4 linked regions of the Pelodiscus sinensis genome follow. The protein of the gene in region 2 interacts with the protein of the main gene of each other region in a pairwise test. Links are inferred from orthologs where the notes say so. Each region holds a gene or a part of one and is shown on either strand. Other genes may lie near its edges.

Region 1 (7,201 bases), on a different chromosome or scaffold from region 2:
CTTCACAGACAGAGGCTGCTCCACAGGATGCAGAGCAGCATCTGTCCATGTGGAGCTCAGACCATCCCCTCACCCCTCCCCCCCCGCCGTTGACGGGGCTGCTTCTGTGAAACAGCCTCTAATCATGGTGGGCAGGCCCACTAATGACAGAGGCTGCCTTATGGCAGCCTCTCCGATTCCTCCAATTCACTACTGCTGCAGTAGTGAGGGAGATGGGGGCAGGCAGCACCATGGAACCAGTGCTGGGGGGGGGGGGAAACCAGCTTTTAAGACGGCTCCCCCCAGCACCAGCTCCTGCTCCACCCCTCCGCCCCTCCCCCCCCGCTTGCTGCCTCTGATACAGAGGCAGCAAGTGGGGGGGAAATGCAAGTAGTAGACAAGATTAACTGATAACCTTAGGCTTATCGGTTAATCATCTAGTCGACTACTCGTTGGCATCCCTAGCCACAGTATGGCAATAGATGCACTAAACAGACAGGCATGTCAAGTTCCTTTTGTGCCCAGTTCTGGGGCTCAGAACTCTTTAGTGAGGATAGCAACAACTAACATTTCCAAACTTGCATTAACCATAATAATTAGAATCACACAAGCAGCCATATAAGACCACCAGCATATTGCCCCTTTCAATCAATGATCACCAAGCACTTTACAAAGAGCATCATTATCCCAGTGTCATCCTCAAATGGGAAATGGAGACATACAAGGGGACATGTCCAAGGTCATATGGCAGGTCAATGGCATAATCAGGAATACTCACTGGTCTCCTGACTCCTATTCCGTGCTCTAATCATTTCATCATGCTGCCTCTTCTACAGCACATTTCTCTCACCAGTCGAGGAGGGGCTATTTCTGCTTTTTGGCTTTGACTGGCCCGCCCGCTTGGCAGAGCAATTGGATCTTTATGAAATGCAGATTCCACAAGCAGGGATTGTCAGCACCTGAGCTGGGGGCTAAAAGCTGGAAGCAAATAACCAGGAGGAATGGTTTTGCATTCGTCAACATTCTCTCCTGGGCAAAATCCCTTCCCAGTCTCTCCAGCTTGAATCCAGCCCCTTTGTGTTCTCAGATGATCGGCCTAATCCCTGAAATCCAGCAAGCAAAGTAGTACAATCCCCTCCCTCCAGGCCATTTATTCACCAGCTCTGGAGTTTATCACCTAGCAAGACACAGAGGGTGGGTGCCTTTTGTTAGTCTGCATCCACCCAGTGGCTGAGGAAGGATTTGATCCCTATTGTCTCCTCTGTGAACATCTCTTCCCCCCCCCAACCCAATAAGCAGCCCATGTTTCAGGTGTGGCTCCCATGGAGAGCACCTGGAAAGTTTACTTGTCCATGACACAGTCCAATAAATCTGGGATCACCTGTTCTGTCAGCTGGAACTTGCCAAGGAATTTTTCCTCGCACTCTACCTTGGAGCTACTCCACCCTCTGGTATTGAGACACTCGGGACTGGCAGGCAAAGGACTGTGATAGAGCTCAAGAATCATTGGGCAGCTGGTGCTCTGTCAGTGGGAGTTCTCCATGCACATAACCTTTAGAGCTAAAAAAGTCAAATCTGAGGGGAGACCAGCCCTAGCTGGTTAGCAGAGGAGACAAATCCTCCAATGGTATTTTGTATTGATTGCTTTTGGTGCTGCCTGGCTTGAGTGCATTCTTAAGGGAATGAGCCAGAGTTCTGCTAACAAGCTAGACAATAACAGTAATAATAATAATAAAAAAAGAGAGAGAGAGAGAGAGAGAAATGGATAACAACTTGCAAACACCAACTATTCCCTCAAGACTCTGAAATCCAAGTCTCAAAATAGGGAGCTATCCAGATTGGCAGTATGTGCCTTTACTGATCTCATGCAGTACATTAGCTAGCTCTGCTCCTTTAGCAATTCATACATAGCTAGCATGTGCCTGTCTCACACACATACAGATACCCACTAACCTGAATAAGGAAAAGGACAGTATTCCTAGATCTTCCTTCATTCTGAGCCAACCCTGCCCACCTCTCAGTGATAGCAGACCCATGTCTATTAATACTTAGGCGGTGGTCCAAGCACATCTGTGTGTGTGTGTGATTATACAGACCTTTCAGACCATGTTGCATGTAGACAATACATTCTATGAACTACAGTCCCAAAAGTCTGTGGGGCTTAAGCACATTAGTCATCTTCAGAAACAAAAACACCTCAGAAAACCATTTTTTGCTACATGACAAGAAGTGGGAAAAAAATCCAATCCCCTGGGATCGTCCACCCTGATGTGACATTTTCCTGCCTGTTCGACTCAGCCAGACCCCATACAAAATAAGCCCCGTTCCCATAGCAAAGGAAGAAGGAGGTGTACTTACTGCTAGTGCTCATGCTGCTGGTCCTGCTCTGTCCTTCTCATTCAACAAAGGGGGCAAAGCTGCTTTTCCAAACCTCTTTCTTTCTTCCTAGGAGTAGGTTTCCCCCCTTTTCTTCCTAGGAAAAATGTTTCCGTGTGATTCCCTTCTAATTCATGCCAAGGGGACTCCTGGGCCCCACGCTATTACCTCCCCTGGCTCCTGCCTTTGCTCTTAATTTTTAGCAGGCAGATAATAAAGAGGAGCTACAGAAGCAGGGTAGGGTTTTCCTCTGGCTCCCTCTCCTCCCAGCAGTCGCTGCACGGCGTGAAGCAGCACGCAGACGACTGACTCCGGCTTGCCCAGAGCCGAGTTCTATGGAGGGTGCTGTCATGCAATGCAGAGCAATTCCAGCGCCCGCTCTTCTTATAGCTCAAGGGGGGTGTGGACCACAGCAAGGGGAGGGGGCCCGCAGAGAGCTTATCGGATGAAGCTGCTCCCCCTCGCCCCTGAATCTATCCGAGGAGAACCCCCCCTGGCGCTCACCTCCTCTCAGGCAAGTTTGTCAGCAGAAGCCTCTTTCAAGTGCAGGTGGAGGAGTTCAGCCCGGCAGGGCTGGGCTGGGCTGGAGACTGAAAATTGTGATGAAAAGGGAAGGCGAGAGAGAGAGGAAATTAGCTCCACTGGGCAGGGTTTGCTCGGCTTGAGCCTGCTGTTGGCAAAGGAGCTGATCAGGCTGCCCTCTGCTGGCCGAAATGCGCCGCTGCTTGGTGCAGGCCATGCATCGAGTTTGCAAAGTGAAGGCAAGCATGCAAGCAGGTGTATCCATTTGCAATTTTCAAATTCCTCCCGAATTCACTCATCCGATGGGTTCTCCAACTCTCACCTTTCCCTGTCATCACTGTCCCCCGGTATTTACAGGGCGGGCTGATTGTAAGATCATCAGTTTCTTCTTCAGCAGGCTTGGCAAAGGGGGATTTCTATTTGTTTACAATTTCCATGGAAAATATCGGTGTTTAAGTATTTTTTCCATTTTGATTGATTTAAACTGTCACTGTTGTGCAAAATGATGGGCTTTAGGTATTTTTTATTTGGATTTATTTAATTTTTCACAGTTGCAGGAAGTTATGACTAGGTCAGGTATGGATTATTTAATAACAGGAGACAATTTCAAAAAGTTAAAGCTTTATAATTGTAAAACATAGAGGCTACGTCTATATTGGCAAGATTTTGCGCAAACACTCTTTAACACAAGAGTTTTTGCATTAGAATATTTGAGTAAGAGAACGTCTACACTGGCATGTGCCTTTGCACAAAAGATGTGCTTTTGCGCAAGAGCATCCGTGCCAGTGTAGACGCTCTCTTGCACAAGAAGTCTCCAATGGCCATTTTAAACATCGGGCTTTCTTGCGCAAGAAATTGATGTTGCCTGTCTACACTGGCCCCTTGCGCAAGAACAGTTGCGCAAGAGGGCTTATCCGTGAGCGGGAGCGTCAGAGTATTTGCGCAAGAAGCACTGATTTTATACATTAGAACGGCAGTGTTCTTGTGCAAGTACTCACGGCCAGTGTAGACAGGTGGCAACATTTTGCGGAAAAGCGGCCCATTTTTAAACGATAGATCTAATTCATCCCCTAAAAAACTCCCTGGTATTATAAATGTTGCTCAGAGAACTGGGGCCATAGAAAATACTGTTTTATACTAGAGAGAAGGCTGTCCTCTTTTGGTAAGATTCTCACTCAATGTTTTCAAGTGCCCTGGTCCCTCTGGCTCCAGTGGAAGGTTTGCTGGATCAAGGGCCTCAGGATTTGGCCTTTAGCTGTGGACCTTTTCCCCACACTGTGTCCCACATTTGGAAATGGGGAGGAGGTCTGCTGACATGGGTGTATCAGGCAATGATTTGGAAGCGGGCTGTACAGGAACTGGAAGAATGTGTGTATCCCACCTGTCTGTGCAGTTGGAAATAATGCCCTTCTCTGGGGCTTCCCTGGGACAGCCAGAGGCTGTCTTTGCAGGCATCAGATCAGGATTCTGGAAAGAATGTCAAAGAGCCATTCATTCTTTATTTTGCTAGTAACTCTGTGCCTTCCAGAGTTAAGTGTCACCCACCGGAGCTGCAATTCAGTCAGATACAGTTTATGAACTGGGACTTGTTCTGTGGCAGTCCCACCTGAGGATGCTCTGAGTAGCTCACACAAGGTTCAAAGAAGCAACCCATGATCTCATGTCCAATGAAAGGGGGGTTTATGCAGCATAACAAGTTTTGCGTCTTTCCCAGCTGCTGAACTGCCATATTGACAGAGTCATTTTTCTGTTTGATTTGAGGAAGCAGATGTTTCTGGTGATGTGTAGCGGGTTGTGTGAATTACGTGTGCACCTTTGGTTGTAGTGCAAACCAACTGGCTAAATCATCTATGTGTCTATTTCATTTGTGTATCATAGGAACAGTCTGCTCATTTCCATGGAGGGAGAGGGATTCAGGACACTGGAACTGAGGGTGTGTCTACACTGCACCATTATTCCAGAATAATGACTGTTATTCTGGAAAAACAATACTAGTGTCCAATTGTGTTATTTTGAAAGAAAATTGAAATAACGAAGGGCTTTTTCTGATGTTGGTAAACCTCAATCCATGAGGAATAAGGCCTCTTCCAAAAAACCAGTATTTTGCAAGAGGGTGTGTGTGGATGCTCCACTGTTGCGATATCAAAATAGCTCCTTACCAGGGCCATTCTAAGTTATTCCTCCCCAGTACCTCCTGGGGCTCTAAATTGAAATAGCACATCCATATTAGGGGAGCCTGCCTCGGACTAATTTTGAGGCTTGCCTGTAGTGTGGACACTCAATTTTGAAATAAGCTACTCCGGAAGATATCTTCTTACGGAAGACTCTCTTGTTTATTAGAGTGAGGTTAGAAAAAAATACATTGCTTGAAATGTGGCAAGGAAGCCACCATTGGACCAGAAAAGTGAGTTTTGCTGCCTTATGAAAATCCACCCTGATTTGTCTGAGTGATGTGCCTCTGAAAATCACCATTGGCATATGCATGTTCCATCTGTACTGAGCATGCTCCACCCAGGGACTGAGGGGCTGAACAGGACTTTATCTGCAGTTCTTCCCACCAGCTGGAGGCTGTTGTGTTAGATAGGGAAGACTCTCTCTTGTGTTCTCAATGGCTACGTCTACACAGCTTCCCTCTTCCGCAAAAGCTTATGCAAATGAAGCATGGATTAGCATATTGCTGTGCTTCATTTGCATGATTAATTAGGGGCCATTTTTTCAAAAAAAACCCTCTTGTGCAAGAGCTGTTCTTCCTCATTTTTTCAGGAAGAACAGCTCTTGCGCAAGAAGGAGTTTTTGCACAAAAAGGAGGTGTGTAGATGGTCCCTTTTTGCGCAAAAACATCTTGCAAAAAAATGGCTCCTAATTAATTACACAAATGAAGTGCAGCAATATGCTAATCCCTGCTTCATTTGCATAGGATTTTGTGGAAGAGGAAAGTTGTGTAGATGTAGCCAATGGGTACGCCTACGCTACAGAGGAAGATCGAAGCTGCTTCTGTCCATCTTCCAGGGTTCAAATTAGCAGAATAGTTAAAACAGCTGATTTGAAGTGAGAGGGGCACTGTGCTCTCTGCCGGTAACTCTGCTTTCACGAGGAGTAAGGGAAGTCGAAGGGACAGTGATCTCCCTTCAACTTCCTGCAACATAGACAGTGCCAAAAGCCGAGTAAAGCTACTTCGACTTCAGCTACACAATTAACATATCTGAAGTTTCATATCTTAATTTGACTTTGTCCCATAGTGTAGATCAGTGTTTCCCAACCAGGGTTCTGCAGAACCTTGGGGTTCCACAGACCATCGTCAGGGGTTCCGCGAGAAATTGTGGAATAAATAATTTTTTTTCTTACAATGTAAGCTGACATTATATATATATATATATATATATATATATATATATATAAACAGCTCTTTACAAATATTTTGTTGACAATAATTTAGCAGTAATTGAATTGCACTCCCCCACTGTCAATTTTTTGGCCAAGCAAACATTTTCATAGGTAGGGGTTTCTTGGGATATGAAAAATTATTTTAGGGGTTCCTCCATGGGAAAAAGGTTGGGAATCACTGGTGTAGACATACCCTGTGGGACTAGGAAAAGGAGACTAATAAAACATATGGGCTGTGTCTAGACTGCATCCCTTTTCCATAAAAGGGATGCAAATTAGACACATCACAATTGCAAATGAAGCGGGGATTTAAATCCCCCCCGCTTCATTTGCATAAACATGGCTGCCACTTTTTTCCGGCTCGGGGCTTTGCCAGAAAAAAGCGCCAGTCTAGACGGGGATCTTTCGGAAAATAAAGCCTTTTCCAAAAGATTCCTTATTCCTCTTAAAAAAAGGAATAAGGGATCTTTCGGAAAAGGCTTTATTTTCCAAAAGATCCCCGTCTAGACTGGCGCTTTTTTCTGGCGAAGCCCCGAGCCGGAAAAAAGTGGCAGCCATGTTTATGCAAATGAAGCGGGGGGATTTAAATCCCCGTTTATTTTGCAATTGCGATGTGTCTAATTTGCATCCCTTTTACGGAAAAGGGATGCAGTCTAGACACAGCCCTGATGTTATAGATTTAACCAGTAGGTGGTACCCTATGTGTAACAACCTTGACCTTGTGACAGCCATTACTGGCAGTGCAATGATAGTGAGCATATCTGCTGTGTATCTCTGGGAAGGCAGCTTGGTAGCCAGTCCATATCAAGTACCAGAAGCCTGCCCTTCTGTATAACTCCTGCAACCTGTACAAGGTGTACAGGACAGTGGAAACTGGCAGCCTGTATCAAATGTAGAGTGAGGAGGGGAAAAAGGAGGGTGGAATAGGAACAGTCTGGAT
Region 2 (6,870 bases):
GCAAAGCATGGACTATCGCTGCACCTCATTTGCATAATTAACTAGGCTCCGTTTTTGCGCGAGAGGCTTTTGCGCAAGAGCCGTTCTTCCCCTTTTTTCAGGAAGAACAGCTCTTGCGTGAAAGCCTCTTGCGCAAAAACAGAGCCTCGTTAATTATGCAAATGATGCGCTGCAGTATTCCACACTTCGCCTCATTTGCTTCATTATGCAAAGTCTGGGCAGCTGCATCAACTGAGCAAAACTGCATCTGGGGCTACCCCCTGGGTACGTGGCAGCTCTGACCACCTGAGTGTGAATGCGGCAACCTTCAGTCTGATCATATGCTAGTTCCCCGCTGCAAGGGGTTAGTGTGTTTCACTCTCTCCCCTCACATTGCTGCTATAAAATATATATGGCGTTCCATAGCACAAATCACCGGTGTGACAGGCAGGGTTTGAACAAAAGGAAGTTAGAAATAGACATTCCACTCGGAGAGCTGCATAGATCATTTTTTTCTGACAACAGGGGTAAATCTCTGTGCACGTTACGCTCCTCTCCCACAAGATTCTCAGTGTCTCTGATTTCTCACGCTGTGCATTCAGGTCGGAGAGATGTATCCTCCTGTGATACCTTGCCAGTGCAATCTATTACTGTGCAGATGAAAACTAAACAGATGAGCAGAGACCAGGCTTATAGCCTGCACCACAGTCTCAACTCCTTGCCTGATCTCCTTGCTACAAGAGCAGATCTTCTAACCAAAGCCCAGAAGCAAACTTCCCCAGTACTCACACAGTGACATAGGGCCATGGCACAGTGCCCTTCTGGGTGGCTGGCAGGTTGGTGGCACCATGCAGAGTGACGGAGATGGATTCCTTCCCAGTGTGCGCCAGGTGCCAGTGATTGGTTTCTGAAGTTCGTGCAGCCTCATCCGCTCCACAGGGTGACTCCACTACCTGCCAGGCACAAGCAGAAGGAACTTCAGCATTTGTTCTTCCCTGATGCAGATCTTCTGCCTCCCACCAATCCACATCTCCAGCTCTGTTCTAAAGGCTCAGGTGTGTACCCTCTGCAAACAAGCTGAGCTTGCATATTTTGCATCTACTTGGAGAGAGGCGTCTTTCCAATGGATGTAAATGTGTCCACTGGCTGAGTCCCAGAGCAAAAGTAAATTCATAGATGTCTCCTCTTCTGTCCTTATTCACATGTAACTCCCATGGGCAGAGCGCTGCATGCATACAAAATTTGTATCCACGTCCGCATTTGTAACTGCAAAATGAGCCGTGGATGCAGATACAGGTGACCCCCGACTGACGACCCACCGCATTTACAGCCATTTCTTTCCATGTAAGATAGCTCCTAAAACCTCCCAATTTACTTCTACAGCTCTCATTTACGACGGCGTATGACGCAGACTCCACGTGTCATCCCAAAACAGGAAACGTACACGGTCAGTCAGACTCGCCGTCTGCATCAGCTGCTTGAACTGCGCCACACCGGTCTTCACTTTTTAGTTATTTTTGTGAATTATTTGAACTATTTTGTTTCATTTTCCTCCATTTCTGTAGTCAACTTTGGCATTTTTAGGGTATGAAATGGGTTTCCAGGAATGGAACTGCCATTTATAAGATTGCGCCTATGGGAAATAAGGATTCAACTTATGACAGCTTCACTTACGGCAGTTCTTCAGAAACCAAGTAGGTCATAAGTGCAGAGTCGCCTGTACCCATGGATACAAAGCAGATATGTGCAGATTTGCAGGACTCTACCTCCAGGAGTAATACATGCAGAGGAAGAGGAGTTCACAACCCAGGAAAAGGAGCTGTGAGAGCCCACAGCTTCCCCAACAATGCCCTGCCAATGTGCCTCAGCCAAGCCAGCAGAGTAGACTCCTCCAGGCAGGAGGAATCAAAGTTTGTACGGCCCTGTCATCTTCTCTGCTGAAACTGCCAACCAGGGAGCTAATCAGCAGAGAGCAGGAGGGAGGCGGAGATGAATGCAAAGGAATGTGGAGTTAGAAGGTAGAACATGAGCGGGTGGGAAGTTTGGAGTGCAGGAAGGAGACTGAGGTGTACAGATAGTTCGGATTAGGAAGCCTAATCCGAACTATCTAGTCCGTGCCGTGTGTAGCCGCGCGGCATGGGGTTCGCACTAGCCGGCTTTTAAAAATGGCGGCGCCGGCTTTATGCTAATGAAGCCCGGGAAATTCAAATCCCGGGCTTCATTAGCAAGTTCGGTATGCATACATTACCCCCCTAGTTCAAACTAGGGGGGTAGTGTAGACATACCCAGAAAAGGTAGGGAATGGAGGAGAAAGGGTAGAGAATGGATAGAAGACGGTGAGGTTGAAAGAGGGAACATATGGGCTGGCAGATGAATTGAGAGCAGGAGACTGGGTGGGAGAGAGAAGCAGGGAGGGAAGGGGGACAGGGCAATAATGAAGTGGGGGCAGTGTAGGCATACACAGGCAGCACGCTCGCACCAGGAGTCGGGGAGATTAACCAGCGCCTGCATCTCTGGAGATGCACAGAAGGTTGAAGCACACACAATTTGGGCCCAGTAAAGGCACAAAACTTAGGAAGTAACCAGCCCTCTCTCCCCCACAAGGAATTATCAATATGGATGAATGTTGATGCCTGATGGGCAGGCGCCTCCCTACCTTGGGAGCTTTTCCCATGTTTGACTTCAGCCAGAGGGCAGCGCTCTAGGCCCCTCCTGTGCCCCTGGAACCCACTGCTCCCTCTGTGCAGGGAGCTGGTGAGAGGGGTGAGGAGCAGGCAGCCAGCCAGAGGCAGCACAGGAGAAAGGAGCTCTACCCCTACCAGGGGAGGCTGGAAGTGCAAGGCCTAAACAAAAAGCACCCCGCTCAGCTCAGTGCTGAGAGTCTGGCTGAGGAGGGAACAGGCTGGGGTGGCGACCCCCCTGCACATCCCCATGGCAATGGGCCTGTACTCTTGTGCCTTGAGCACACACGCTGCCTCTGCTCAGGCCTCGGGAAGAAATGCTCTCAGACCTCCGGTGGGCACCCTGGTTACTGCCTCCACGAGCAGCGCAGGTGCCCCGTGGCGATTGGCCGGTGAGGGTTCTGAGTTGTGTGACAGCACAGTGAAAGGGCCCGGGCAGGGCTCGGGCTTGGTTGCCCTCACAACACACAGGCCGTCAGGCAGGGCCTGTCTACACAACACCCCACCTGCTTCAAACCTGGCTCGGTGACACTAAGAAGATAAGAACATAAGAACGGCCATACTGGGTCAGTATGGTGGAGGGGGGCAGGTCCTAGAGGGCTGAGGGCAGTGAGAAGGGCAGGAGTCAGAACAGCAGAGGAGGATGAGGGGTTGGGGGGCAGCAGGCACCAGGGGAGCTGATGGAGCAAAGGGGGGAGACATGGCAGCAGAGGGAAAAGGTCGAGGTTCATATGATATTTATTAATAACCTGGGTGCCACGGTGGCACATGCAAACAAGCCACATGACCTCAGTACTGGTGCAAAACACAAAATTCATTCTGCTCATGGGAGGAAACTCTTAGAGGGGACACTTCCTCCAGCCTCTCCGCCTCCGAGTTAATGTGACCCAAATTGGGGTAATGCAACTGCAGAATAGTTGCATGAGGGGGGTTTGGTGGGAGCCAAACTAATCCCTATTGGTAGGAAGATGGTGGGTCACGTGACACCTTTTACATCTGGTCATGAGCCCATCTTGCCCCGAGAGTGTTACCTCCAGAGGTCTGGCTAATGGGAGTCAGGGGTGTGGCTAATGGGGGTCAAAATTCTTTGGGTGCACACCCTAATGAAATGTGCTGCACACGCCTATGGTTACAACCCTATGAGCAGCGCCGCTTGGCGCCTGCTTCTAACATGAGGCACGACAGACAGGCTCCCGCTGACAGCGAAGAGAGAACAGCACCCAGCAGCAATCAGTCTCTCCAGCTACTTGCACTTGTTACGGCAATTAGCAAAAGGTTCCAAAACGTCAGCTCCAGGCCCACCAACTAGGGCTGCCAGGTGTCCGGTGTTGAACCGGACAGTCCAGTGTTTGAGCTTTCCATACAGGAAACAAACTGAGAAATAGAAAGGAGACTGCAGAACTGTCTGGTGTTTTCTAAATAAGATGGGATGTAGATTGGGATGTCATGTCACGCTTTTCCGGGATTTTTGTTGGAGCCATCTGACAACCTCCAACAGCGAGGGGGGACGACAAAGGGGGCCCTTGTTCCAAGGCCTGGCAATTCAAAGGGGCCAGGGCTTACAGCCCCCCTGAACTGCTGCTCGAGTGCCGAAGCGTCGCTCCAAACGGCTGAGAGCTGGGAGGGGAAACATGTTCCGGGCAGCACTGAGGGCTGGCTGCCCCCATCCCACCCCTTTTGGCACATGCAGCTGCCTCCTCCCTGGCCCCAGGGTCTGCAATGAATCTCAACTCTGCTAGTCAGCCCTGCGTCTCACAACAGAAGGCAGGAGATGTGTGACAGACCCAAACTGCCCAAATACACCCACATATACACAAACACACAACGGGTACCAATATACACACACACATATATAAATACACGTGTACACAAACACGTACACAAACATGCACACACATCTACAGACACAAATGCTAATACACATACACACACACCAGTCTTATTAACTACTAGCCAATTAGCCCGTCATATGACAGAATTTTCAGGTCTCTCCTCCACGTCGGTCTTCTCTCCTGAGCTTCCAGTCTCTCGCTCTGTCTCTCTCTCTCTCTCTCTCCTCCTACTGCCTCCCCCTCTCTCTCTCTCAGCTCTCCTCTGCCTCCTGCCTCTCTCTCCATCTCTCTCTTTCTCTTCTCCTCCCCCTTCCCTTCCTGCCTCTCACTCGGGGGACCGCGGAACCCAGATGGCCGTTTGGGCCCCGCACTCCCCATGAGCACAGGCCGCCCAGAGGGAACAGCCAGCATTTCAGAGTTACAGACTCTCAGACATTGGACCACTATATATATATATAGATCAGGTATCATGACATTTGCTCTTAAAATTCCCCCATCCCAGCAGCTCACTGGGATTGGACAGGCTGGTGTAGCTCTGGCAATTAAGCTCCCACATGGTTGATCCAGCCTATTCTGCTGCCAATTCCTTAATCAGTTGACAAGCTCAGTCTTCACCTCAGCTTTCCCTTTGCTCTCTCCTCCAGCCTCTGGTGTGTGTGCCTTAAGCAAGTGGGTCAGTGGCCCCTGACCCAAAACAGTTGCCCCCCCCCCCCACACACACACACACAGTTAGTATCTATAAGCACAGCAAACACATCTAACCAGCATTGCCTCTCATTCCTAACACCAAGGCTGGCATTTCACAACTGTAGCCTAACTAGCACTGAAGGGCCTTAATTACCATTTACCTCCTTGTCTCCCCTGCCTCTAGGCTGAAGCTGGGTCAGGTGGCCTGGGACTGTTGAACCTTTCAGGCCACGTGCCCTACTTGTTGCAGCCATGATCCTAATGGCCACATTTTAATCAGATAACACTTCATGTGGATAGAAACCTGACTAAATCGTTTGGCTCAAAGGGTACTGATCAACAGTGGTGCCGACTGCCTCTGAGTCCCTGGGCAAGGTGAGGGAGGCCTAGCTCCTGTTCCCAGACAGGGCAGGGCCTTGGGTGGAAGGGCCAGGGCCTTGGGTGGAGGCAGCAAGCTCTGAGCACTGCCCACAGAGGCCTATGTAACCAGTGCAGTCCACACTGTGGCAGGCCTTCCCTCAACCCTTAGCACTGTGCAGACCTCGGCTTGCCTTCCCTCCACCCTCAGCACTGCGCAGACGGTGGCATGTCTTCCCTCAATCCTCAGAGCTACTGTCAAGGCTGTTCCCCACTCTGGCACAACAAATGCAAAAGTTGGGGGGGCCGCAAGAGTGCTCCAAACGCTTGCATCTACAGGCTTCGGTACAAAAAACTTCTACAAAATCCTAATACCCAGATTTTGGGGGATCCACTGCCACCATCGAGTGCTTTTGAACCCCCAAAATAAATAAAAAACCAGGGGTTGACACTTGAAACCAACCCCAGGGGTACCCCAAGCCCTTTTTTCCCCAAAGCGCTTGAAAAAGGAGAGAGAGAAAGAAGCTGCAGTCTCTGGTAGCTGACCCCTCAATCAGAGGCATGTAGATACCCACCGATAGACCTCCTAGGACACACGAATCAACCAATACCGGTTAATTAGAAAAAAGAAACAATCTTTTATTATCAAAACAAAACTACAGTTGCAAGCATAGTAAATTGGCTAGATGGAAAAAGCCACCATTTGATACAGATCCTCAGGGAAAAACCTCTGGGCTGTAAGACTTAGCTACAAAAGAGGGGAAAAAACAATGAGCAAGCTCAGACATTATTTCCAAACCCCCAAACAAGGAAAACAATAAACCCTGATGGACTATCTAAAACTTGTCCCTACTTATATATTTTAAGAAGTCCGTTCTTGGAGAGAGAAGCATCTCCCTTAATACCTGGGAGAAACTTCTCTGAATCTCAAACAAGGATGAGAGAGAAAAACCCCTCTTCTCCACTTTGAAATTCCTACCTGCATTGTTATTGGCTGACTGCCCAACACCTTGGCTAGATACTTGAGTTAACCCCTTAGTGACCAGGTGCTGGTCAGCACTACTGATTATGACAGCTACCCAGAGAGTGACACTCTTTCCCCCAATCCCCAGTGCTCCCCAGACCGCGGTACACCTTCCCTCGACCCCCAGTGCTGCCCAGAGCGTGACAGGCCTTCCCTCCACCCCCAGCGCTGCCCAGAGCATGACAGGCCTTCCCTCCACCCCCAGCGCTGCCCAGAGCGTGACAGGCCTTCCCTCCACCCCCAGCACTGCCCAGAGCGTGACAGGTCTTCCCTCCACCCCCAGCACTGCCCAGAGCGTGACAGGTCTTCC
Region 3 (6,903 bases), on a different chromosome or scaffold from region 2:
TGCCACATGGAGCCTAATGTTACGTTGTGTCTTTGTAGTGCAGCCTATTTAAGGTACCACAATGACTTTAATCCTTGTGCAGTATTTCCTGATTGCTGTTTGTTTTATTTAGATGGAGTTCAAGCACTCTCTCACCAGGCACAGTGAAACCAACATCTGTTATCTTACACATCAGAGAAGTGATCTGCTTTTTCCTCTGTACACAGTTCTCTCAACCCTACCTCCTGCTGGCACCTTACTTCCATGGAGAATAAGGAGATTGAGAGAGCTTCTTCTTTTGGTGGTCATCATTTTTTTCTTTAGACTTGCAGAGAGCTAGTATCTGTAATAATCATGTAGCACCTGGCTTCAGCACTTTCACAAGTTGTCTACTTAAGCAGCTAAGCATATCATCTTCTTTAGGCATTTTGCCCAGGATCTGAAAGCCTGAGTCAAACTCTGTACTCGAAATGCATATGTAGCCTGATTCAACTTCTTTGCCTATTAACCAGATGCTTTGAACCTTGTTCTGCCATTTCCAGGTGGGAGAGATTCCTGCAAGGTGCTAAAGTTTCCAGTTCCGTTAAAATTAGGGACCTAAAGGTCATTGAGTCCAGTCCCCTGCCTTCACAGCAGGACTAAGTACCATCCCTGATGAATTTTTACCCCAAATGGCCTCCACAAGGACTGAACTCACAATGCTGGGTTTAGCAGGCCAATGCTCAAACCACTGAGCTATCCATCCTCCAACAAATACTCTTGCCTCCTCCAGCAAAATCCATAAGCACATGCTTAACTTGAAGCACATTAGGTGCGGTCATTTACTTCAGTGAGCCTCCTTTGCTTGGAAGCCAGCTCCAGGCGTGGTCTGAGGAGGTCTGACCAAGATCAGTGGCCTCTTAGCAGTGCTAAACTAAAAGGAGGCTACTTTGCAGGCAGCGCCGTGGCTGAAGACAAACTGGCAGGAAGAAGTGTCTTGCACGGATGGGAATGCCCCCGACTGCAGGATTTGTCTGGTTGGAATTTCCATAAGCAGTGCTTCAGAGCAATCCCATCTAGAACATTTTACGTCACAGATGCAGTGATAAATTTATTTTCACAACCAATCCATGGTTTATTTTTAAAAAAGCTATGAAGTTATACAACCTGCTAATGGGTAAAAAGTACCAAATGCAAGACACAGGAAGGTGCAAATGCACTCTAGTATGTAGAGAATAATAAAATACAGTAGGCTAAATTGCATTCTCAGTTACTCCTATACATCCCCACTGACTGGCATTTTATCAAGGTCCTAGCAATTGCATAAAGTTAACTGAGGGCAGAATTTGGACTAATATGTTTATTGTAAAATATTAAATTTCTTTCAGTTTCACCCAGTCCAGCCACGCCTAAGCGCATGCTTCCATTTAAGTACATGGAGTGTTTCATTGACTACTTTGAGCCTTTGCTGTTTGGCAGCCAGCATGATTATTTGTGAGACCTAGTTTGAATATATGGAAAGGAACAGGGCCTATACATATTAACCCACTCAAAATTGCCAAAAAAGACATTAGTCCACTGTGTATGACACACGAACATATTTCTATATTACAGCCTTCATTATGGCACTTGGTTTAAAATGGAGATGCATATTTTGATCTTATTTGTATATGTCATAACGTAGATTTTACTTCTACAAAACACATGAATGTACACAGGTATTTTACTATAAATTGAATTTTTAATCTTTTGTTTTAATATGTAATCAAATAAATTGTTGAAATCTCCAATACATGAGAACAGAGCCTACAGCAGGACCAATAATAATATGTGGGGCCACATGCAGGGGAACCAACTACACATGCCTCATGCTGGCCCTAAATTAACCTGGAATTACACTGAGGGAGGTAAGCATTTTACAGATGGGGAAACTAAGGCATAGTTAGTTAAAAGACATACTCATAGGCTACGTCTACACTGGCATGATTGGCTACTGGCTACTGCAGCCTGGCCAGAGGTGGTCTAACTTGAGGTCAGTAGCCGGGCTCCATTCCTGGCAGGATGGAAGCCTTGGTATTTTGCTTTTTATTCCTTTTTAAATAAATGTTTGAAGCCCTTATATTTATCCTTGGTTCATCTTAAAATTCAGTTACTAATCCTTCAAGCCATCTTAATATAGTCCCCAACAGTTTAATTATTCTGTCTTTCTGTAGCTCAAGTATTCTGTCTTTCTAGAAGGTTTACTTTTTTGCTCCTGATCATAGAGTAAATATATCTGACATGAAATATTTATCACACCATTCTATCCTGTGGATGAAAGCTACGTGCTTTTACCTTTAGTAAAAAATGTTGGCTTATGAACATATCATACTGTATAATACATTAAAATATATTGGACACAGTAAATTTAAACAAAAAGTATGGGTTTTTCCTACTGATCCCGTGGTGGCTTCAAAGGTTTGGTAGGGCCTGATCCAATCCCCATGGAAGTCAACAGGAATTTTTCAGCTGACTTCACTGGATTTTGGACCAAACCCTTAATATTTCTCTGGTGTTATTGCTCCAGTGACCAAAGAACTGGATTGGGGGTTAATAAAATGAGACTGGGGTAACAAAAACAGACTAAATATATTCCTGAAATGGAAATAAAAATATAAGTGAATTATTTCTCTCATTCTTCACTCAGACTTTATTTCTGATCTTTTTACATCACAATTACTGGAACAGATGGTCCATCTAATCCCGTGCCCTGCCTCCAGCAGTGGCCAGTACCTAATACTTCAGAGGAAGGCAACATGCTGTAACTGCAGTAGCAGGTTTAATTCTACTTCGTGTAAATCACTCTGCTCCAGGATGCACTATAGAGAGGATCAACCTACCTTGTGAGAGAGCAAAGGATGAGGACTGACAAATGGCAGGGGAGAGAGCTGACAGGTTCACACAGGCCTTTCCCAGCTCTAGCGTTTATGTGATTCATTACTGATCAATAACCTCCTGCTCCAGAGCTTTCCTCGCTAATTAACAGCAAATAGCAATGAGGTATAAATGTGTTATATTGCCTATCGTGAACTAGACGAGGATCAATTTTGCTGATGCCCATGACTATCAAACTGTAGAAGAAAAGAAATAGAGAGAGGGACACAGCTTAGCTGGACCTAGCTGGCTCAGATAGCTAAGTAGATAACAGCAGTGATAGGCTAGAATGGTGTTTGTTTTTGGATCCCAAAGCACTGATCAGAGAGAGACACCATTATCCTATTGTGCTCTTGGGAATATTTGTGGCTAGGATGCCAGTCAGGGTGTGTCTGCACAGGGAAGTTATTTTGGAATAACAACCGTTACTCCGAAATAACTATGTGAGCATCTACACAGCCATTCCGTTATTTCAAAATAATTTCAAAATAACAGATGGCTTATTCTGACTTCTGTAATCCTCATTCTACGAAGAATAACGCCTATTCCGAAATACTTATTTCGAAATAAGGCGTGTGTAGACGCTCCACTTCTGCTATTTCGAAATAGCCCCTCACCGGGGCCATTCTAAGTTATTCCTCCTTGGGCTCTAAATTGAGATAGCACCTCTATATTAGGGAAGCCTGCCACTGACTAATTTTGAGGCTTCTGTACTGTGTAGACGTGCTATTTCGAAATAAGCTATTTCAGAACAACTATTCCGAAATAGCTTATTCTGAAATAACTGTGCAGTATAGACGTAGCCTAACAATGGTCCTGGGTACTTGATACACGCCCAGAAGACCATTCTCAGGCTGCATGTCTGCGTGCTCAGCTCACTGCAAAACTGTAACATAATCTTAAATTGCACTGGGCTGCAAAAATGCAACGTCAGCTCCCAGCACTGGCTCCGTGGCGAGCGCCCGCCTGGCCCTTTAAGAAGCCAACTCAGTCGTGATGCTGCTGTTTGTATTGCTAAATCCCCAGGAGTCCAGTTCAGAAACGGGCAGCTGTCTCTTTAAGTGTGATTTCCTTCTATTGTATTTGAATCGTGATCAGGAAAAAGGAAATGAAACCAGAGACTCGGGGCTGAGCTAAATAATAATAATGATGCTGCTGATCTCTGCATCTGCGGCAGAGGCACCCTCTCTCAGGGTAGGGCATGAGCAGAGCTGTCCAGCCAGAAAGCATACGCCGAGCAATTAGCACAGGGGACTCCAGGGTAAGCAGCAGTGACAGCTGAAAGGGTCTATTTCCATCCGCGATCGGAACAGCAGCTGCAGCTGGGGCTGCCCTGCCACGCAGCAAACAGGAGGAGCATTGCGAGGATGGGAGGTTAGATCCTAAGGGTCAGCCTTGCGGAGACACAGCCCGGCGGCAGCAGCAGCAGCAGGAGCAGCAGCCCGTATTTCTTTCTCTCTTTGGTGTTACAGGAGGAAATCCTGTGAATGTCATTGGGGGGCGGAGGGGAAACTCAGCTGGTGAGAAAGCATCAGGAGCAGACAGCCTTTGTAAGGGGCAGAGGGGGCAGATCCTACCACAGACACACTACAAAGGAGAAAGCCCTGCCAATGTCATCAGCCATCGAGAGGAAAAGCCTCGATCCTTCCGAGTAAGTGGCCTTTTTTCTTTCCTAGCCCCCTCTGCCTTTTGATGGCTCTTGAGCTTCTCCAACACACGGGCTGGGAAAGGACTTTATGAGCTTCCAGAGTCCTTCATTGTGATCATTGTTGTTGCTATTTTGGGTAAGTGCCAGTTCTAGGAAGGCGCTTTGGAGATCTTCTTCTGGGGGAAGGTGGTTTAGACATATGCCAGGGCTGCTTTTACCTTCGAAATAATATTCCTGCGTGCAATAAAGTCCTAAGCACAACCACCGCTTGCCCCCTTCCATACACTGCTGCCCTTGTAATATTACAGCCTGGGTGGATTTGGTAGAGAGTGTCACTCTGGTGCATGCAAAGGGGAGGGTTGGTAGATTTCATTGAGTTGCTGCTGGAGGAGGCAAGCTGTGTAGATATCAGTGTGCTACTCATGTGGATGGCAGCACGAGCCCAGAGACATCAGTTCCCCATTTTGAGTTGAAACCAGATTATAGATTCATCAGATTTGTCAGGTTTTGTGAAATACCTGCCAGGATAAACCTCTCGTTTGAAAAAAATCTAACAATCCCCTTCACACTCCCCCTCTGTTCTTGAGATGCAGTGATGCTGATGAGAGTGATTCAGAGATATGGGGTGCATAATACTTTCCAAAGCTTAACTTGTTTTCAGGCTCTGCTCCCTGTTTAATCTGCCCAACTAGCTGACTAGACCAAAAGGTCAAAGCTGTTATCTGATGGTGTACAACTTCCACATTTTCATACTACAAGTCAGTTTGAAACTTTCAAGAGATTATAATGATGGTGTGGGGGAGGGAGATCACAAATGCATAAAGAATTGATACACAGAAGGTGTGGGAGAAGAAATTTGTTCTTACTTACTACCTTTGTGGAAGAGGTTACATAAATTCAATAACTGATTGTAGCATTACGATCTGGCTCTTTCAGTAGATTTCCTGCAGCCATCCGTTTGTACTTGAATGCTGGCATTTAGTTGCAAGAGGAGTGTGAACTCAGCTACACAATGCACCGTGTCATTCCACTGAATTCCTGGGCTCTGCGTCTCAAGAACAGCATTAGGTGCACTACACTTGTCTGTGTCTCAGTGGCACTGTGATAATACAATAAGGAAAAACACTTGTAAAATCCTGGTTTTCAATGTAAAACTTAAATTTTATTTCCGCCTATAAACATAATTAATTTTTAATTTGTTTCCTTTAAGTCATTAAAATGTTGTCTTCTGAAGCCCTCATCTAAGGCATGTAAAACATAACTAACTCATGATCCAAGGCAGTTAATACGTCATATCAGACATTTTGCATTTGTTACCATTTTTCTCATTTCCCATTGATTTTAAGAAATTGTAATTTAACTTCTAGGTAATTTTTTTTAAAGATTTCAACTACACAGTAGTCGCAATATTTATTTATTTGCTTTATGTTCTAGTGAATAACAGCTGGCTATGAAATCCAAGCACATAAAAAAGCTAATGCATGAAACCGAAATTCTGTTCAAAATAAACATAGAATCATAGGTTCCAGCAGGGTCGGAAGGTAGCTCAAGACCGCATCTGCCACAGTGTGAGACTATGCCTGACTTAGGCTTTGAAATAACCAACCCATCGATCCTGATCGGTCATGAAAAAGGACAATTTAACAATATAAAATATGGGTGCATGTATGCATCTATATGAACATCTGCACTCACAAAAGAAGGGATTCATTAATTGTGAAAAAGCTGCTTCCTTATTTCCTTGTATCCTCAAAATATTCTTATGGACTTGTAGTATTTGCTGCAGATAAACACAGTGTTTTGTTCTATGGATATAATGCCCTGTTTATATTATTTGGCTTATGTGTTATTTAATGCATTGATGTTTTCAAGCCAGCCTCACGGAAACAGCATGCATTCCTTTATAGTTATATATGTAATTGGTTGGTACTGCGAGTAGCAGTGCTTGCAAAGCATAGAGCATAGAGGTGTATGCTTTGAAAATCTAGGGTCTGATCATCTGTATGTAGAAACTCCCACTGACTTACTGACAAGACTGTGTGTAGAGAGGTCTGGTAGGCGTTGGATCGCAAGTCATAAGAATGTTAGGACACAGCAATATAAACCGTGAAGTGAATATGGAAGTAAGAGTAGATGCTGTTTTAAGATTGAAGTCAGAGGGAGATTTTGCCTAAGTAAAGCTGCACTCATTAGGACAGAAGTTTTGGAGCACTGTTTTCAGAGACATATGAAAGTAACTTTTGACAAGGAAATTGTTTTTCCAGTAAGTAAAGGTGGTAGAAAAATGTTAGTTTCTATGGCCTGTTGGAACGCTAAACAGCCAGATTTCTATCAGTGTAGTTACAGTCTGTCCTCACCAGTCCAGTTGTGGTATGTAATAAAAA
Region 4 (7,963 bases), on a different chromosome or scaffold from region 2:
GAATGTGTAAGAAATGGGAAGGCAAGGGCATTCTTAGCATCTTGAGCAATGCAGCAAACAGGCTAGTAAGAGCATGAGCTGGTAACAGCATTTCCCACTTACTGAGGTCTGGCCTCTCTTCAGCAAGAGCTTTGGAAAGAGGTCCAAGCCAGAATCTGCAATGAACAAGAAAGGCAGTCACACTCGGCCCCTCTCTCCAGCACCTTCTGCCAGGCAAGCTCAGTGCTTAATACAAATCTACCCACTCCCTGGCAGGAAAGTTAATAACCTGTTTTACAATTGGACAGAGGTGAAATGACTAACCCAAGATCACATGGCAAGGGAGAGGCAGCGCTGAAAAGAGAATTTAAGTCTTTATTCCTAGCCCTGTTCTTGCCATTAGAGCTCACTGTCTGAAAGACCACCAGTATGCAGAATCAGCTCCTCTGCATTCCAGGGAGGGAGTGCCATTCCAATCCATCAACCTCATAATTTATAAACTTCCCACCAATATGGTTCTACAATTGATAGCCGCAGATAAGATGGGAGACTGTTCAGTCAGCTGAGCAGCTCAGGCATCAAAGGAGGATTCCCTAGGAGCAAGGGCTGCTCAGTATTTATTACTCACCATAGCTGTCTGTAACCTTGGAAAGTTGAATTGGCGCATCTAGCAGCACCTTGCTGCACCCCTGAGAGTTCTCGTCATCTCTGTAACACACAGAAGAATCAAGGAGTAAAGGTACCACGATACACTCCCATTCCTGCAACATTCCCATCTGCCACACACCACCCCAAATGAGTCTCAGATGCTGCCCTAAGTTATTCTGTGTCACCCTGTTTGACATCCTCATTCTGTACACTCCTAATGCTGACACTTTACAGCACAGCTCTAAAGTAAAATGCACATGACAAGACCCAGAGCTCTCCTCGTCTCTCACCACATTGGACTCAGCCCCGTTTACAGGTCTTTGCATAGAGGCCCCAGAGTACTTACAGGTGGAGGGTGTTGAACATCCTCTGGCAGATATCCCGGATGTCCTCATCATCTTTCGAGTCTCTGGACACTTCCTGCAAGAGCTCTCCCACTGCTTCAAAGAGATCATCCACAGACTCAAAATCTTCACTGCCACTGTGCAGGATCCCTGCAAGAGAAGAGAGACAAGCCACTGAGCAACAGGCCCAAAGAATTCCAACCAAAATAACAGCCAGTGTCTCCCCACACCTCCACCATCCTCACAATCCCACTGAACAACAAGGATCATTCTAGGATTTAAGGGAGGGGGCTGACCTCCAGTGCCAATTGAAGAAAGTAGGTAAGAGAGCTATGGGTTCAATTCCAGACTATTCCACAGGCATCCATGTGTAAGTGACCTTGGCCCATATTCTTGCCTACGGGAGGGATAGCTCAGTGGTTTGAGCATTGGCCTGCTAAAGCCAGTGCTGTGAACTCAATCCTTGAGGAGGCCATTTAGGGATCTAGAGCAAGTGTCAGGGATAGTACTTGGTCCTGCTGTGAAAGCAGAGGACTGGACTCGATGACCTTTCAAGGTCCCTTCCAGTCCTAGGAGATAGGTATAGCTCCATTCATTTCTCAACAAGCATGGCCATACTGAGTCAGACCCAAGGTCCATCGAACCCAGTGCCCTGTCTTCTGACAGAGGGCCGAGTGACTAAACAGAACAGGGAATCAAGACATGGCCCATTCCCAGCCCTGACAGAGGCTAGGGACACCATCCCTGATGGACCTAGCCTTATTACTTTATCTAGTTCTTCCTTTGGCAAAGCATTGCACAGGTTGACTGCCTTTTGTGAAGTAGTACTGCCTTTTGTGTTCAACCTAGGACGCCCAGTTGTTGACCCCTCGTTCTTGCGTTATGGGAAGGAGATTTGTGTAGTAGTACTGCCTTTTGTGTTCAACCTAGGACGCCCAGTTGTTGACCCTTCGTTCTTGCGTTATGGGAAGGAGTTTTGTGAAGTAGTACTGCCTTTTGTGTTCAACCTAGGACGCCCAGTTGTTGACCCCTCGTTCTTGCGTTATGGGAAGGAGATTTGTGTAGTAGTACTGCCTTTTGTGTCCAACCTAGGACGCCCAGTTGTTGACCCTTCGTTCTTGCGTTATGGGAAGGAGTTTTGTGAAGTAGTACTGCCTTTTGTGTCCAACCTGGGACGCCCAGTTGTTGACCCCTCGTTCTTGCGTTATGGGAAGGAGATTTGTGAAGTAGTACTGCCTTTTGTGCCCAACCTAGGACGCCCAGTTGTTGACCCCTCGGTCTTGCGTTATGGGAAGGAGTTTTGTGAAGTAGTACTGCCTTTTGTGTTCAACCTAGGACGCCCAGTTGTTGACCCCTCGTTCTTGCGTTATGGGAAGGAGCAACTAACTCTTCTCTAGTCACTTCTTCCACAGCAGCCGTGATGTCACAGACTTCTAGGCTATCGCCCCCCGAGTCATCCATCTCTTTCCCACGCTGACAAGTCCCGGTCACGGGGCAGCAGCTCATCATTTCTGCGGCCCCTTTCTGAACGTCTTCCAAGGCCAGGGGATTTGGGGGGGGGGGGGAAGGGGCACCTCTGCACGTGGACTGAGGCTTCTCGCAGAAGGGGTGGGAACGGGGCCCCTTCGTGCCCAGCCCCCCGTCGGTGACAGGCCCCGCCTGGCTCTCGCGCAGGAAGGGGGTTCGCTCCCACGCGAGGCAGGCAGGCGACACGCCCGGGCGCCCCATCGGGCAGGCAGCCTGCGAGCGCGCGCCAGCCCCGGGGGCGCGCCGTGCTGAGGGGAGGCAGAGCGGCGGGGCGCCCCGGGGAGAGGCGGGAAACCCCGGCCCGGGCAGCCCCGCCCCCGCCGCCCCAGGCCCCGCCCCTCGGGCTCCCCCCGCCCCTCACCGGTCACGTAGGCGAACAGCTCCCCGTCCAGCTCGGGGAACTCGCTGCGCAGGATCTCGGCGCACGAGGCCATGGCCGCACAGCCCGGCACCAGCCTCGCTACCGCCGCCGGGCCACGCAGTCCGGGGAAAGGGGGGGGGAGCGCGGGGCACGCCGGGAAAAGGAAAAAAAAAAAAGCCCGCCGCGCGCAGGCGGCTGGGACATGGAGTCCGGGGCCGGCCCAGCGCGAGGGACGGCGGGAACGGGTGCCCCGCGCATGCGCCTCGTCCCCGGGCGCGCCGTCCTCCAAGTTCCCGCCAGGGCAAGGGAGGCGCGTGCGCAGTTCGTGAAGCGGGATTGGGGCGGGGTCCAGGGGAGGGCTGGCACAGAGGTCGGCGGGGGGGGGGGTGGAGCCAGGGCGTGGTTGCCGGGGGGCGGGGGCCAGGGCGTGGTTGCCGGGGGGCGGGGCCAGGGCGTGGTTGCCCAGTGAGCTCCGCCCCTTGCTATTGCGGAGCTGGGATTTCAAGCATCCCCCGACATAAGTGACTTGGAGCCACTCAGGGGCTCTGACTTCCTTTGCTGGGGCCCTCGGTGCTATGGGCCTGCCCCACACCATGCCCCCCCCCTTGCTGCTGGGGCCTTCAGTGCTATGGCCTGCCCCACACCATGCCCCCCCCCCTTGCTGCTGGGACCCTCGGTGCTATGGGCCTGCCCCACACCATACCCCCCCCCTTGCTGCTGGGACCCTCGGTGCTATGGGCCTGCCCCACACCATACCCCCCCCCTTGCTGCTGGGACCCTCGGTGCTATGGGCCTGCCCCACACCATGCCCCCCCCCCTTGCTGCTGGGACCCTCGGTGCTATGGGCCTGCCCCACACCATACCCCCCCTTGCTGCTGGGACCCTCGGTGCTATGGGCCTGCCCCACACCATACCCCCCCTTGCTGCTGGGACCCTCGGTGCTATGGGCCTGCCCCACACCATACCCCCCCTTGCTGCTGGGACCCTCGGTGCTATGGGCCTGCCCCACACCATACCCCCCCTTGCTGCTGGGACCCTCGGTGCTATGGGCCTGCCCCACACCATACCCCCCCTTGCTGCTGGGACCCTCGGTGCTATGGGCCTGCCCCACACCATACCCCCGCCTTGCTGCTGGGACCCTCGGTGCTATGGGCCTGCCCCACACCATGCCCCCCCCCTTCCTGCTGGGGCCTTCAGTGCTATGGCCTGCCCCATACCATGCCCCCCCTTGCTGCTGGGACTCTCGGTGCTATGGGCCTGCCCCACACCATGCCCCCCTTCCTGCTGGGGCCTTCAGTGCTATGGGCCTGCCCCACACCATGCCCCCCCCTTCCTGCTGGAGCCTTCAGTGCTATGGCCTGCCCCATACCATGCCCTCCCCCTTGCTGTTGGGGCCCTCGGTGCTATAGGCCTGCCCCGTACCATGCCCTCCCCCTTGCTGCTGGGGCCCTCGGTGCTATGGGCCTGCCCCGTACCATGCCCTCCCCCCTTGCTGCTGGGACCCTCGGTGCTATGGGCCTGCCCCGTACCATGCCCCCCCCTTGCTGCTGGGACCCTCGGTGCTATGGGCCTGCCCCGTACCATGCCCTCCCCCTTGCTGCTGGGGCCCTCGGTGCTATGGGCCTGCCCCGTACCATGCCCTCCCCCTTGCTGCTGGGGCCCTCGGTGCTATGGGCCTGCCCCGTACCATGCCCCCCCCTTGCTGCTGGGGCCCTCGGTGCTATGGGCCTGCCCCGTACCATGCCCTCCCCCCTTGCTGCTGGGGCCCTCGGTGCTATGGGCCTGCCCCGTACCATGCCCCCCCCTTGCTGCTGGCCGGGCGCTGCCTTGCAAGCTGGGTGCCCAGCCAGAAGCACCTGCCCAACCAGCAGTACCCACTCAAGTGTGGCCATACCACACTCCCCCAAGACAGCCTCAAGCCCTCCCTCCTCCCCCAGTATGAGAAACACCACCGTAGGGGCTGCTTTGTCTCTCTGGCAAGCAGCTGCCGTGGTGTGAGGGAAGGAGCAGCCCTTGCTGTTGCAAATCAGGCCTGGGGTCATACTGCAGCCCCATGCTATGGGCACTGAGTTGACTCCTCCGTGGGAGACTGCATGGCTGGGAGCTGGTATCTGAACAGGGTCAAAGGGGCCAGGAAAGGCAGGCAGAAAAATAACTGTGAAAGAGTCTAATGGTATGTCCACCCTGCACAGGATTGTTTGTTTTTTTCAGAAAAATGGCTGGTGGTTTTTTGTTGTTTTTGTTGGTTTTTTTTAAACCTTCCCTTAGATCCACACTGCAATCACATTCTTTTGGGGAAAAAAATCAAAAGAACAGAGGGGCTTTTCCTACATTGGTAAATCTCTTTCTACAAGGAAGAAGACTTTTTCCAAAAGAGTTCTTTCAGAAAAAGGCCTGTGTGGACAGGGAAGAGGGAGCTCTTTTGAAAGAAGAGGAAAAAACACAGGCGCCATAGTGGCCACTCCGTCCATAGTAATCACAGCTTAAATGCGAGATAGCATCCATATTGAACGGATGCTATCTTTCAAAAAAGCAGATGGCTTTTTTTGATGTGCTTTTGCTATGTAAAACAAACATCAAATAGTCTAGTAGCACCTTAAAGACTAACAAAACATGTACATGGTATCATGACCTTTCATGGGCAAAATCTACAAAAGATGAAGTGGGTTTTTGGCCACAAAAGCTCATGATACCATCTACATGTTTTGTTAGTCTTTAAGGTGCTACTAGACTATTTGATGTTTAAGTTTTTCCTGTTACAGACTAACTCAGCTACCCCTCTGAAGCTTTTGCTGTGTAGACGCTCTCTTTCAGAAGTTTTTTCTGAAGATCTCTTCCGGAAAAGTTTATTTTGAAAGAGGTATAGTCTAGACATAGCCTAAGGTACCTTATTTCTTTCAGTAAGTCCTAGGCATTTCACAATCATTTATGAAACCAACAGGCATGGAGAAGGTGGTGAGGAATAGGGATGTAAAATCCCATTTAATTCATTAGTCAGTTAAATATATTGTTAACCAATTAAAAGGCAGGGGAGACCGCTCCAGTTCAGCTGCAGCAGTCCCCACTGCCCACCCTGGGCCAGGGCACCTCACAGGCAGGTGTCCCAACCTGAGCAACCCATGCCTTTGAGGTACCCGGGGCCACCGCAAGCAGAAGCTGCTCTGGCTCAAGCAGGCTCTATCCAAAGTGAGACCCCCACCACCACCTGCAGCAGGTGGGGAGCTGCTCCCACCCCTCTGGTTAACCTTAACTGGTAAGCATCACCTGTTAAGAGCAGGCAGCCGCCGCGCCCTCACCTCTCCCCCAGGAGGAGATTGCTGCCCTGGGCTAGGAATACAGAGCAGCTCTGCCAGCCCGAGGAGTGGGCCAAGGAAAGGAGCAGGCAGCGCTCCTGGCATTGACCCCTCTGCTGTTTGGGCTGCCCTGCTTTGAGGGGGAGGGAGTGAGGAAGAGGTAGGGGAGATGCCAAGTGATGAGCAAGGAGGATGCTGTCCTCACATCCACCGTTACCCAGCTCTCCCTTGCTCTGTGGATCAGGCCCGTGCAATTCCCTGCACATCTGGTTGGCCTGGCTGTTTGTGTGGGGAAGAACCCCTGGCCTTGAGCTTTAGCTGCCAAGAGTTGGCACGGAGGACCCTGCTGGCACGGCGGACCAGGCAGGTATACTGCCCTTCGCTGAACACGGCAGCATGAACACGCAGGGCCTGGCTCGGCAGCAGCTCCAAGCCGGGAACAGAGCGCGAAAGGAGCACCCCATCTTTGTACCAGCTGCAAGAGAGAGGAGGGCAGGACCGTGAGACCCGGGCAGCTGCTGTCAGCTAGCACCAGTGACCCCCATGCCAGCCAGTGAGTGCCAAGGCCTTTCCTTCAGCTCCTGGCTTGCTAGCAGTCTCCTTCCCTCCGCCCAACTCACTCCCAGCCACAGTCAAGATCCGGCCATTTCTCTCTTCCCATCATCACGCTGCTGAACCTGCTACAGGTTGGACGTTGCTGGTCTGGCATCCTTGGGACCTGAGCTGTCCTGAACAAGGGATTTTGCCAGACCAGGGGAGATCAGCCTTGACCTCTGCTAGGGCTCCCCTCCTGGCCCTGGCCAGTGCACTGCACCCCGCCTGCTACCAGAGCTCCACTGCCCCCAGGCCACTGGCAACCTCTACGGCTGGGGCTCTCTGGCCCAGCCAGACCACAGGTGTTGCTGGACCAGGGAGAGTCCCGGACCACAGAGGTTCAGCCTGTAGTCAGAGACCAGGACTTTTATTCACAGAACACAGCGGAGCAGTTTGTTTCACTTGGGTGTGGTCGGGATCAGGGCCCGTGGTTGCTCCTTATTGGAGGGGTGCTCAAGTCTGCACATCCATTGACCCCCCCACACCAACTTTGCCTTTCCAAAGCAGTAGCCTCCCTGCTTCCTGGCCTCCACAGCTGGCAGCATCTGCACAGACACGAGCGCCATCTCCCTCGGAAGGCAGCAGGCAAAGAGATTACTGCAGAGTTCAGCTAGGGAGACCTGGCTTAGTGAGTGCTGGGGAGGGGGGTGTCCATAGATGCAGCAATGCTCTGCATCCCGGAGAGCTCCCAGCTGGATAGTAGCTCACCTGATTTGCAGGTGTGTCCTGGAGGTGTTCAGCCCACAGCGGAAGGTTATGGCTCTGCCTTTGGAGAGGTACTTGGTGTGAATGTGGGGGGGCTGCACTCGTACAGAGGGGGAGGCAGCAGGGAACTCTGAAAGACACACAGAGCAGTGATGCCAAGCCAAGCGGCCATGGCTCCCTTCTGCATGCTGCAGCAGCCTAATAAAGGAGGGAGGGGCATGGGAGGTGCTAGGTGGCGTTTGCTTTGCAGGGGGGAGCTGGTTTCTGTAGCCCACAGCACCAGCAGGGGAGGAGTTCTCTTACCGGAGCAGGAGTTGCAGATTTGGGGGCAATGCCTCTTCATGAAGGCGCACCGGCGCGTGCAGAACCCCTGCCGGGCCCAAGGCTCACACTGCTGCTTCTCATCCACGCAGCCTGCAGGGACAACGCTCGGAGATGGGCATTGCAGAATAGCCACTTCCTCCCACGGGACTTGCCTTTGGTGCAGAAGCAGCCGAGGAATTTGGAATGGA

Evidence for each region.
Region 1: the proteins of CCDC33 (region 2) and ABLIM3 interact in a two-hybrid assay, tested with the Homo sapiens proteins (2 studies listed by BioGRID and IntAct). The two-hybrid records come from large-scale screens. The link is inferred for Pelodiscus sinensis from reciprocal best matches to the Homo sapiens genes CCDC33 and ABLIM3.
Region 3: the proteins of CCDC33 (region 2) and LMO2 interact in a two-hybrid assay, tested with the Homo sapiens proteins (2 studies listed by BioGRID). The two-hybrid records come from large-scale screens. The link is inferred for Pelodiscus sinensis from reciprocal best matches to the Homo sapiens genes CCDC33 and LMO2.
Region 4: the proteins of CCDC33 (region 2) and ABCF3 interact in a two-hybrid assay, tested with the Homo sapiens proteins (2 studies listed by BioGRID and IntAct). The two-hybrid records come from large-scale screens. The link is inferred for Pelodiscus sinensis from reciprocal best matches to the Homo sapiens genes CCDC33 and ABCF3.

What each region holds. Positions count from the first base shown.
Region 1 is NC_134727.1:16,803,006-16,810,206, forward strand, and holds the start of ABLIM3 (actin-binding LIM protein 3), read right to left. Parts: upstream 3,017-7,201; 5' UTR 2,860-3,016; intron 2,836-2,859; exon of another isoform or gene 2,449-2,835; 5' UTR 2,351-2,448; coding exon 2,338-2,350; intron 1-2,337. UniProt on the Homo sapiens protein: May act as scaffold protein. May stimulate ABRA activity and ABRA-dependent SRF transcriptional activity.
Region 2 is NC_134724.1:39,167,485-39,174,354, reverse strand, and holds the start of CCDC33 (coiled-coil domain-containing protein 33), read right to left. Parts: upstream 3,003-6,870; 5' UTR 2,654-3,002; coding exon 2,636-2,653; intron 933-2,635; coding exon 769-932; intron 1-768.
Region 3 is NC_134714.1:86,905,775-86,912,677, forward strand, and holds the start of LMO2 (rhombotin-2), read left to right. Parts: upstream 1-3,887; 5' UTR 3,888-4,132; intron 4,133-4,343; 5' UTR 4,344-4,358; coding exon 4,359-4,522; intron 4,523-6,903. UniProt on the Homo sapiens protein: Acts with TAL1/SCL to regulate red blood cell development. Also acts with LDB1 to maintain erythroid precursors in an immature state.
Region 4 is NC_134720.1:48,890,419-48,898,381, forward strand, and holds the start of ABCF3 (ATP-binding cassette sub-family F member 3), read right to left. Parts: upstream 3,017-7,963; 5' UTR 2,933-3,016; coding exon 2,860-2,932; intron 1,122-2,859; coding exon 974-1,121; intron 688-973; coding exon 608-687; intron 156-607; coding exon 103-155; intron 1-102. Other genes in the region: matrix metalloproteinase-23-like, read right to left, coding at 6,393-6,627, 7,455-7,581, 7,755-7,794.